Ovis aries: one gene and its partner. The protein of the gene in region 1 binds, or shares a complex with, the protein of each later gene. Links are inferred from orthologs where the notes say so. Each region holds a gene or a part of one and is shown in the gene's direction. Other genes may lie near its edges.

Region 1 (3,653 bases):
CTTTTTGGTCCCTCATAATAATAGAAACTTTTCTAATGTTATAAAGCTGAACGGAATGTGGAAAGTTTAATTTTTATCTATAAGTGATTTCCTTTGTTCATTCATATGGCAAGCCATTCTTTAGATAGAATTCTGCTTTGGAACATGACACTTCTCTTGGGTTAATGTTAGGGGTTTGAATGTTAGCTTTGGTTCAGAAAAATTAAAAGTGTGACTTTGAGGGTTACATATTTTTCTAAGTATATAATCTTGAAAGCTTTAGCCATTTTAACCAGCACCCAGGACTTTAAAAAAATTTAATCTATGACTTTTTGTTGTATCAGGGTGTTCGAGATCTGTTAAAAGTGATTTTGGAGAAAATCTTGACAATTCCCAATACAGTGAGCTCAGCTGTTGTACAGCAGCTTCTGGCAGCAAGAGAGGTAATTTAAACTTGCCTGCAATTCATTGATCATCTCCTAAAGATGTCTAGTTTTATAGTTCCATGCTTTTAAAATTTACAGTAGTTTATAAAATGTTCCATTTCTTTACTTCTACAAAAATCATATTTTAAAGGTATTATTTCACTTCCACTGTATTTCAAAAGGAAATTTTACATTTTAATTCATAGTTTTTAATTATGAAAACAACAATATTGATATTATTATATCTACAACCATTATAAGATGTTGTCCTATGGGCCACTTTAAAGATCTTTGTGCTTTGTACCTAATGTTGCAGGAATTGTTTAGTGTGTTGCCTTCCAGTTGGTGTTAGTCACTCAGTCGTTTCTGACTCTTTGTGACCCTATGGACTATAACCTGCCAGGCTCCCCTGTCCATAGGATTCTCTAGGCAAGAATACTGGAGTGGGTTACCATTCTCTTCTCTAGGGAATCTTCCCGACCCAGGGATCGAACTTTGGTCTCCTGCATTTCAGGTGGATTCTTTACCACCTGATCCAACAGGGAAGTCTACCAATATCTAATGCGTGTTCAATGTTACTTACTATCAGGAATCTGGTCTGTTATTTACTATCAGCAATCATTGTATTAATCTTCATTTTTAGATATTCACATTTAAATGAATTCTTATGCTATATTTAAGCCAACTGAATGCATGAAATAATATCTCTACTTTTTAAATATCATTGTTGTTGGATTTAAAGGGCACATCTGTGGGACTATTCAAAATAATAACATAGCCCCCTTTTTTTTCCCCTAGGTTATAGCATATATCTTGGAAAGAAATGCTTGTTTACTACCAGCATATTTTGCAGTCACAGAGATCAGGAAACTATATCCTGAGGGAAAACTTCCACATTGGGTAAATTTGATGTTTTGTTAAATTTTTAAATAGAAATTTGTATTAAAAATTATTATATTAATTGATTTTTTGTGTGCTTATTTTTTTTTTTTTTTATTTTTTAATGGTCACTTGATCCTTAGATAATATGTGATATTTTTTTTTTATGATGCATTTCTTTCATTTCTCTGCTGTCCTGTTGAGATAGTTTATATATATCATTTCGTAAAATACACACAGCTTCATCAAATAGCTAAGGACATGGTGGTATGACCTGGCTTAATTCAGGGATAAATGTACTGGTAAGTAATTGTTTAGGAGGAAGTGAAAGAGGACTAACTTTGAGTAGTTTTATGTGCCAGGAATTGTACTAAATCTTTATATATTATCTCATTTTATGTAAATGATTCTCATATTCAGAGCATCTTGATTTTATTTTTCTACTTACTTGTTTTCATTTTATTTTGTTTTAGTTACTTGGAAACCTGGTATCAGACTTTGTGGATACCTTCAGGCCAACAGCAAGGATAAACTCCATTTGTGGTAGGATTATAATTTAAAATGTTTTAAATATTTTTTAGTGAGCTGACTACTGAACCAAGTTGACGGATGAAATCTTATACACGTCGTGGTGACTTGCCATTTTAGTATAACCTAGGAGCTTTTATACTCTATAGATAAAACTCTACTCCCCAGGCACCCAGAAGTCTCAGTAGATCTGTCTCTCTGACTTTAGTACACCACATTGTCTGACTCCCAGCCCATTCCAGGCCACACCTTTGCTCTGTATATAATTTATTTTGTTTTCCACTTGTTTCATGTTTATTAAAGTCTCTGAATTTCCTTTTAAAAATAATCACATGATTTACAGTTTTTACAGTTCTCATATGTATGTTCCTGAATTACTTATAGAAATCATGGTAGCCTCAGAACAGCCTGGGATTATAGACCCTTATTTAATCAGTGACCAAGTTTTAGCACTTTCTGTGAGTCAAGTGCTATTCTGGGCACTGGAAATACAAAAAAGAAATGAAAAGGACACTAGACTGATAATTCTTAGGCTTTTAGCTTTCATAACTGAGAGGATATTAACATCATTTGATGAATTATGGAAAGTGGTGCAGATTTGAGAAGAGTGAGGATGAATTTAGTTTATGTTATATTGAACTTAAGGTGCCTGCAGGACATCCCAGTGACAGTATTTATCAGGCATTTGGATACATGAACTGACTAATGGTCATATACTACTTCTAAGGCCTCTAGGAACATCCTGTTTAAAGTTACTTAGTTTGACCTGAGATTAAAGGTCTGTAAACTTTTTCTATAAATGGTGACACGACAGATATTTTGGCATTGTGGGCTATGCATTCTTACAGCTACTCAACTCTGCCATTAGAGAGCAAAAGGAATAGCGTTCCAGTAAAACTTAACGAGAGCAGGTGGATTTGGTTCATGGCTTGTAGCTTGCTGAACTCTGTCCCTGGACAAATGCAAAATCTGTGAGTTTGGAAGTTTTGTACAAATTGGTCTTTAACCAGCTGGGCTAAAAATATTCAAAGAAAATTCCCAGACTTCTAGCTAATTAAAATATATTTTTAACCAGTGCCTGGTTCAGCATGATAGTCATTAACTATTTGTAGAGTGAATGAAGGACTAGGCATTGCTATGTTCACATTTATTTAGAAAGCATTTTTTGTAATACCTACAGGCCGTTGCAGCCTTCTACCAGTTGTAAATAATTCAGGAGCCATTTGTAATTCATGGAAATTGGACCCTGCAACTCTCCGTTTTCCTTTGAAAGGCCTTTTGCCATATGATAAGGTATGTTGTTCAATATAATGATGCTTTTGATCCATCAGTCTTCATCCAAGATTATATATTGTGTGATGCTAAATTGTCTCTTCATAGACTGAAAAAGTAAGTATTCAATGAAAGATAGTTTATAACCATAAACTATGGTTTTTGTCATATGATTTCAGGATCCAAGTTTAGCCTGTTGTTTGTGATATTGCAGGTGTTAATGTTCCAGCGGTCCACTTCTGGCCAAGTACTTGGTGTTAGAAAATTGAATTTTTAAATTGATTCCTTGTTTTCACTCTTCCTTTACAAAGCAAGGACCAAACATGAATTTGCAGTGTCCCTAAAACTTGAAGAGTGAGCCTCCTTATTGGTTGTATTTTTTTCAGAAGGGGAGAGGTGGGGAAGGACAAAAGTAGAGTAGAAATTTCTCAAGGAGAAAAATCCACATATATCCATAATATGAAATATGAGATATAGACATAAAGCTATGATGAAACACATATGGCAGATTTGTCTTACTATCTTGGGGTTTGGAGGGAATGACAGAGCAGGTTATAGGGAGGGCCGAAT
Region 2 (3,653 bases), on another chromosome or scaffold:
TTACAAAGTGCAGTGCAAAATTAGTGATTTATTCTCCCCTCAGAGTCAAGAGGCTCTTTGGTCCAGTGCTATCTCTGCATGTAGAGGGCACTTAGGAGCAGTTGAGGGCGTTGAATATGAAGAAGAGAGAGGGGATTAGAGAGCAGCTGCAGGGTCCCTCTGGGCCGGCCAGGTGTGCTCTGGGCCTTGTAGATGGGCTCCAGCCTTGGGGGCTGGTGGTAGGTTAGAGCTTCTGTGTTGGTAGATATATTAGGACTGGGATAGGTTATAAGTCCTGCTGTGAAAAACAGTTCACCATGTGGAAAGTATTTTTAGGTCTCTGAAGTAGCAGGGCTCTCTTGATACTGTTAGCAGAAATTTACGGAACAAAATTCTCAATTTGGAGACCATAAATTGGTAGTAACTGATGGCATCCCTTAAACGTACAGATTTGGGGGTTTCCTCTTGTAGTTTGGGGTCAGTTTCCAGTGGGAATGTCCAGCTCCCCCTTCAGGTTGGTATCCAGCAAGGTTCAGTTCACTGCCAAGCTCTTGCTATGGGGACATCAGTTATAAATAAACAAACACTCGCCTGGAACGTTACAGTCATCCTGCCCAGGCAGGCTCCCAACTTTCTGGCCACTGTCAGACACCAACTATGGCTTCACAGCATGACCCACTGAGAGTGGCACTAAACAGTAATTTGTGTGTTTAAGTCTTCTGTGTGTTTTGCTTCTCTTCATCCAAGAATACTGGTTAAAAAATGTCTGAACGGAGAGCAGCCTGTTCACGTGATGGAGAAATTATACATGGGAGGCATTGCCAAGCATGTAAAATTCACCATACTGAGTCACTGAGGGTGACTTAGCTTTCTTTTAAATCTTTGGAAATTTCTCTTCTTCTATGAGGCAGGTGATTAGCCTGACAGTTTCTATCATTGTATTCTGCTTTTTATTTTGATATATTTTGCCACTGACTTTGAGTGTAGAGTTGGAACTATTTTCTGTAGTCTTATTCATATTTGATCAGCATGCTATAATTATTTTTTTAAAATACAACAACTTAAAAGCTATTGGTAAAGTTTGGTTTAATTCAGGCCAGATTATTTCTTTTGAACTACATCTCCGATCTTATAATGGTGATAAGTCGGTTTTACTAATAGAAAATTGTGTTAAGGTAAAAGTTTTTTTAGAATGCTAGTTACTAGAATTCGTCAATCGAAAGCAATAAAAACTTCCTGAGGACCTACTCTGTGATAGTCCTTGGGCTAAGTTCTTGGGAAACATAAATTTAACACCGTTTCTATTCTCAGGGAGCTCACTGTTCAGGTGGCATTTTGCAAAATATGCCTTGCAGTTCTGTTAAATGAGATACCTTGGTCAAATAAGTTGGAAAAGTATTGCTTGCCTCATCTCCAGTGATCTTAGAGATTTTTATTGTGTACAAGTTACACTAATGGGTAAGAGGAGTCCTACAATAAAGAAAGCTCTTTACTGAAAGAACCCTTTTCTTTAAAGCTAGCTCTTTGTATATGTTTATTTCAGAGTTTCTCAAACTCATATCACACAGAAGCTCTGTGTATGTGTGTGCATGTATAAAATTTCTTAACATCTTGAGGACCCTTTGGAGCAACATCTGCCAATAGAACTTTCTACAATGATAAAAATATTCTACCGAGTGCAGCCAAATAAATAAAAATACTAAAAAAAATGTTCTATATCTGCACTGTCCAGTACAGTAGCCACTAGCCCCATGTGGCTGATGAGCACCTGGAATGAGGCTAGTATGACTAAGGAATTGCATCTGTAATGTTATTTAATTAATTTAAACAGCCAAGTGTGGCTGGCTGGTGGCTTCCCTACTGGACAGTGCAGCTTTGGAAGCTACTTTGGGAAATATTGCTCTGAGGGTGTGTTTCTACTTTCATTCTGCAGACACTGTAGAATGAAGACACACAGACTGTCCTCAAGGAGCTTCTAGTTTGGTGGGCATCAGGTGTCCATGGTGTCATGACAGGTCTAAGGGGATTGCTTAGAGCCAGAGGTTAAAGCGTCTGCCTGCACTGTGGGAGACCTGGGTTCGATCCCTGGGTCGGGAAGATCCCCTGGAGAAGGACATGGCAACCCACTCCAGTACTCTTGCCTGGAGAATCCCATGGACAGGGGAGCTTGGTGGGCTACAGTCCACAGGGTTGCAAAGAGTCGGACACGACTGAGCGACTTCACTTTGACTTTAGAGCACTGAGGAGGATTTCAGCTTTGGGTGATGTCCCAGAGGCATCCTAGAGAATGAGTGTGTGTAATGAAATTTCCACTACCAATTTCAAAGTGTAAATGCTACCTGTTCATTGAGGGAACAGTTTGTATGTCTCCAGTTCTTGTCCAAATAAAATCACTCTTGGTTGGAGTTATAGCAGTATCACGACCTCACGTGTTTCCATTCTTCTGCCCACCAGCAATCAGACCTTGTGCTATGTGGTGAACAGTGAGCGGCAGGCAGGCATGAAACACGGCCCCTTTGAATCCCCAAATGATCCCCCCATTTATGCTGGTGCTGTCAGTCACAGTGAATTTGACAGAAGCAAGGATGGGCACAATGCCTGGTGTTACTGCCTGTCTTTGGGGCTTGAAGGCCTCTTGAAGGGGTTGAGATTTTCAGATAGCTGCAGCAACTCTAAGTGTCAATGTTTGTTCCTCTCGATTGCACACACTGGTTGTCTGAACTTTATCTTTCTTCTTTCCCTCCAGATGGTGTCCTACTCCTCCGTTCTCACAGCTATCAGCAAGGTACGACCACAGCCACTCACAGCCTGGATGGGGGGCAGGGGACAGAGATACGGTGGTGACACATGGGGGCCCACCTCCTTGACTGCTCCGATCATGTGACCTCTGGGCCTGGACCATGAGCACAGCGTACCTCTGGCTGGTATGGCCGCCTTCCATGAGAGAGTGGGGGATCATGGCAAGTGGGGGCTGGCAACTAGGAGCCAATTTCCAACACTGAAAGGATGCCGAGTGTGAATCTTGGGGTTGGAGGAAAGATGAGCAGGGCTCCTGAAGGTGCCAGCTGCCTCATGTGGGAGACGGGGAGGTGGGGTGAGCGGGACACTCCATCGCATCGCCTTTGTTCTCTCCACAGTTCGATGACTTTTCCCGGGACCTGTGTGTCCAGGCTTTGCTGGATATCATGGACATGTTTTGTGACCGACTGAGGTAACGGCAGGAGCGAGGGGCTTGCAACCTTCCAGCATTAACTGAGTGTAGAGGAGAAGCTCCTGGCACGCAGGCTCAAACCATCTCTGTGGGTTCCCACACTTGTCCCCGCCTTGCTCTTCTGCACCCACCCATCCCCGTCTTTTTCTACTTATTCTCTTAGGGCTAAAATGCCTCTGCTCTATTTGGAGTAGCTCATTTGAAATCTTATCCAGTAGAAGCCGACAGGGCAGTCTTCCCCAGGACTTTGCTAGCTTCCCAAGTCTCTTCCCTAGTAAGGGAGGGCCAGGCACTCTGGGGAACATGGGTGTGGGTCGGATTTCAGCCTTTGGAGCGGAGACAGATTTTGCATCCTTTCCTGGTAGCTGTCACGGCAAAGCGGAGGAGTGCATCGGGCTGTGCCGGGCCCTGCTCAGCGCCCTCCACTGGCTGCTGCGCTGTACTGCGGCCTCTGCAGAGCGGC

Evidence for each region. Proteins that work in one complex are often made in the same cells at the same time.
Region 2: the proteins of MED23 (region 1) and MED24 are in contact, whole or in part, in a cryo-EM structure (PDB 7EMF), measured with the Homo sapiens proteins. The link is inferred for Ovis aries from reciprocal best matches to the Homo sapiens genes MED23 and MED24. Residues at the interface, in NP_004821.2 of Homo sapiens: Asn150, Thr151, Val152, Ser153, Ser154, Glu193, Gly194, Leu196, Pro197, Trp199, Leu201, Gly202, Asn203, Ser206, Asp207, Asp210, Arg213, Tyr258, Asp259, Lys260, Phe263, Ser1133, Arg1139, Ser1176, Glu1180, Glu1182, Trp1183, Val1184, Tyr1186, Arg1189; in NP_055630.2 of Homo sapiens: Lys238, Thr239, Leu280, Leu283, Lys287, Val291, Glu295, Cys336, Glu339, Phe340, Lys343, Leu344, Thr345, Pro346, Leu347, Asp349, Lys350, Gln353, Lys384, Glu720, Lys721, Trp723, Thr756, Arg757, Lys758, Glu759, His760, Met802, Asp803, Pro804.

Annotation. Positions count from the first base shown.
Region 1 is NC_056061.1:57,041,205-57,044,857, reverse strand, and holds part of MED23 (mediator of RNA polymerase II transcription subunit 23), read left to right. Parts: intron 1-323; coding exon 324-422; intron 423-1,202; coding exon 1,203-1,304; intron 1,305-1,756; coding exon 1,757-1,826; intron 1,827-2,991; coding exon 2,992-3,104; intron 3,105-3,653. UniProt on the Homo sapiens protein: Required for transcriptional activation subsequent to the assembly of the pre-initiation complex. Component of the Mediator complex, a coactivator involved in the regulated transcription of nearly all RNA polymerase II-dependent genes.
Region 2 is NC_056064.1:40,098,308-40,101,960, reverse strand, and holds part of MED24 (mediator of RNA polymerase II transcription subunit 24), read left to right. Parts: intron 1-2,725; coding exon 2,726-2,764; intron 2,765-3,116; coding exon 3,117-3,190; intron 3,191-3,555; coding exon 3,556-3,653. UniProt on the Homo sapiens protein: Component of the Mediator complex, a coactivator involved in the regulated transcription of nearly all RNA polymerase II-dependent genes.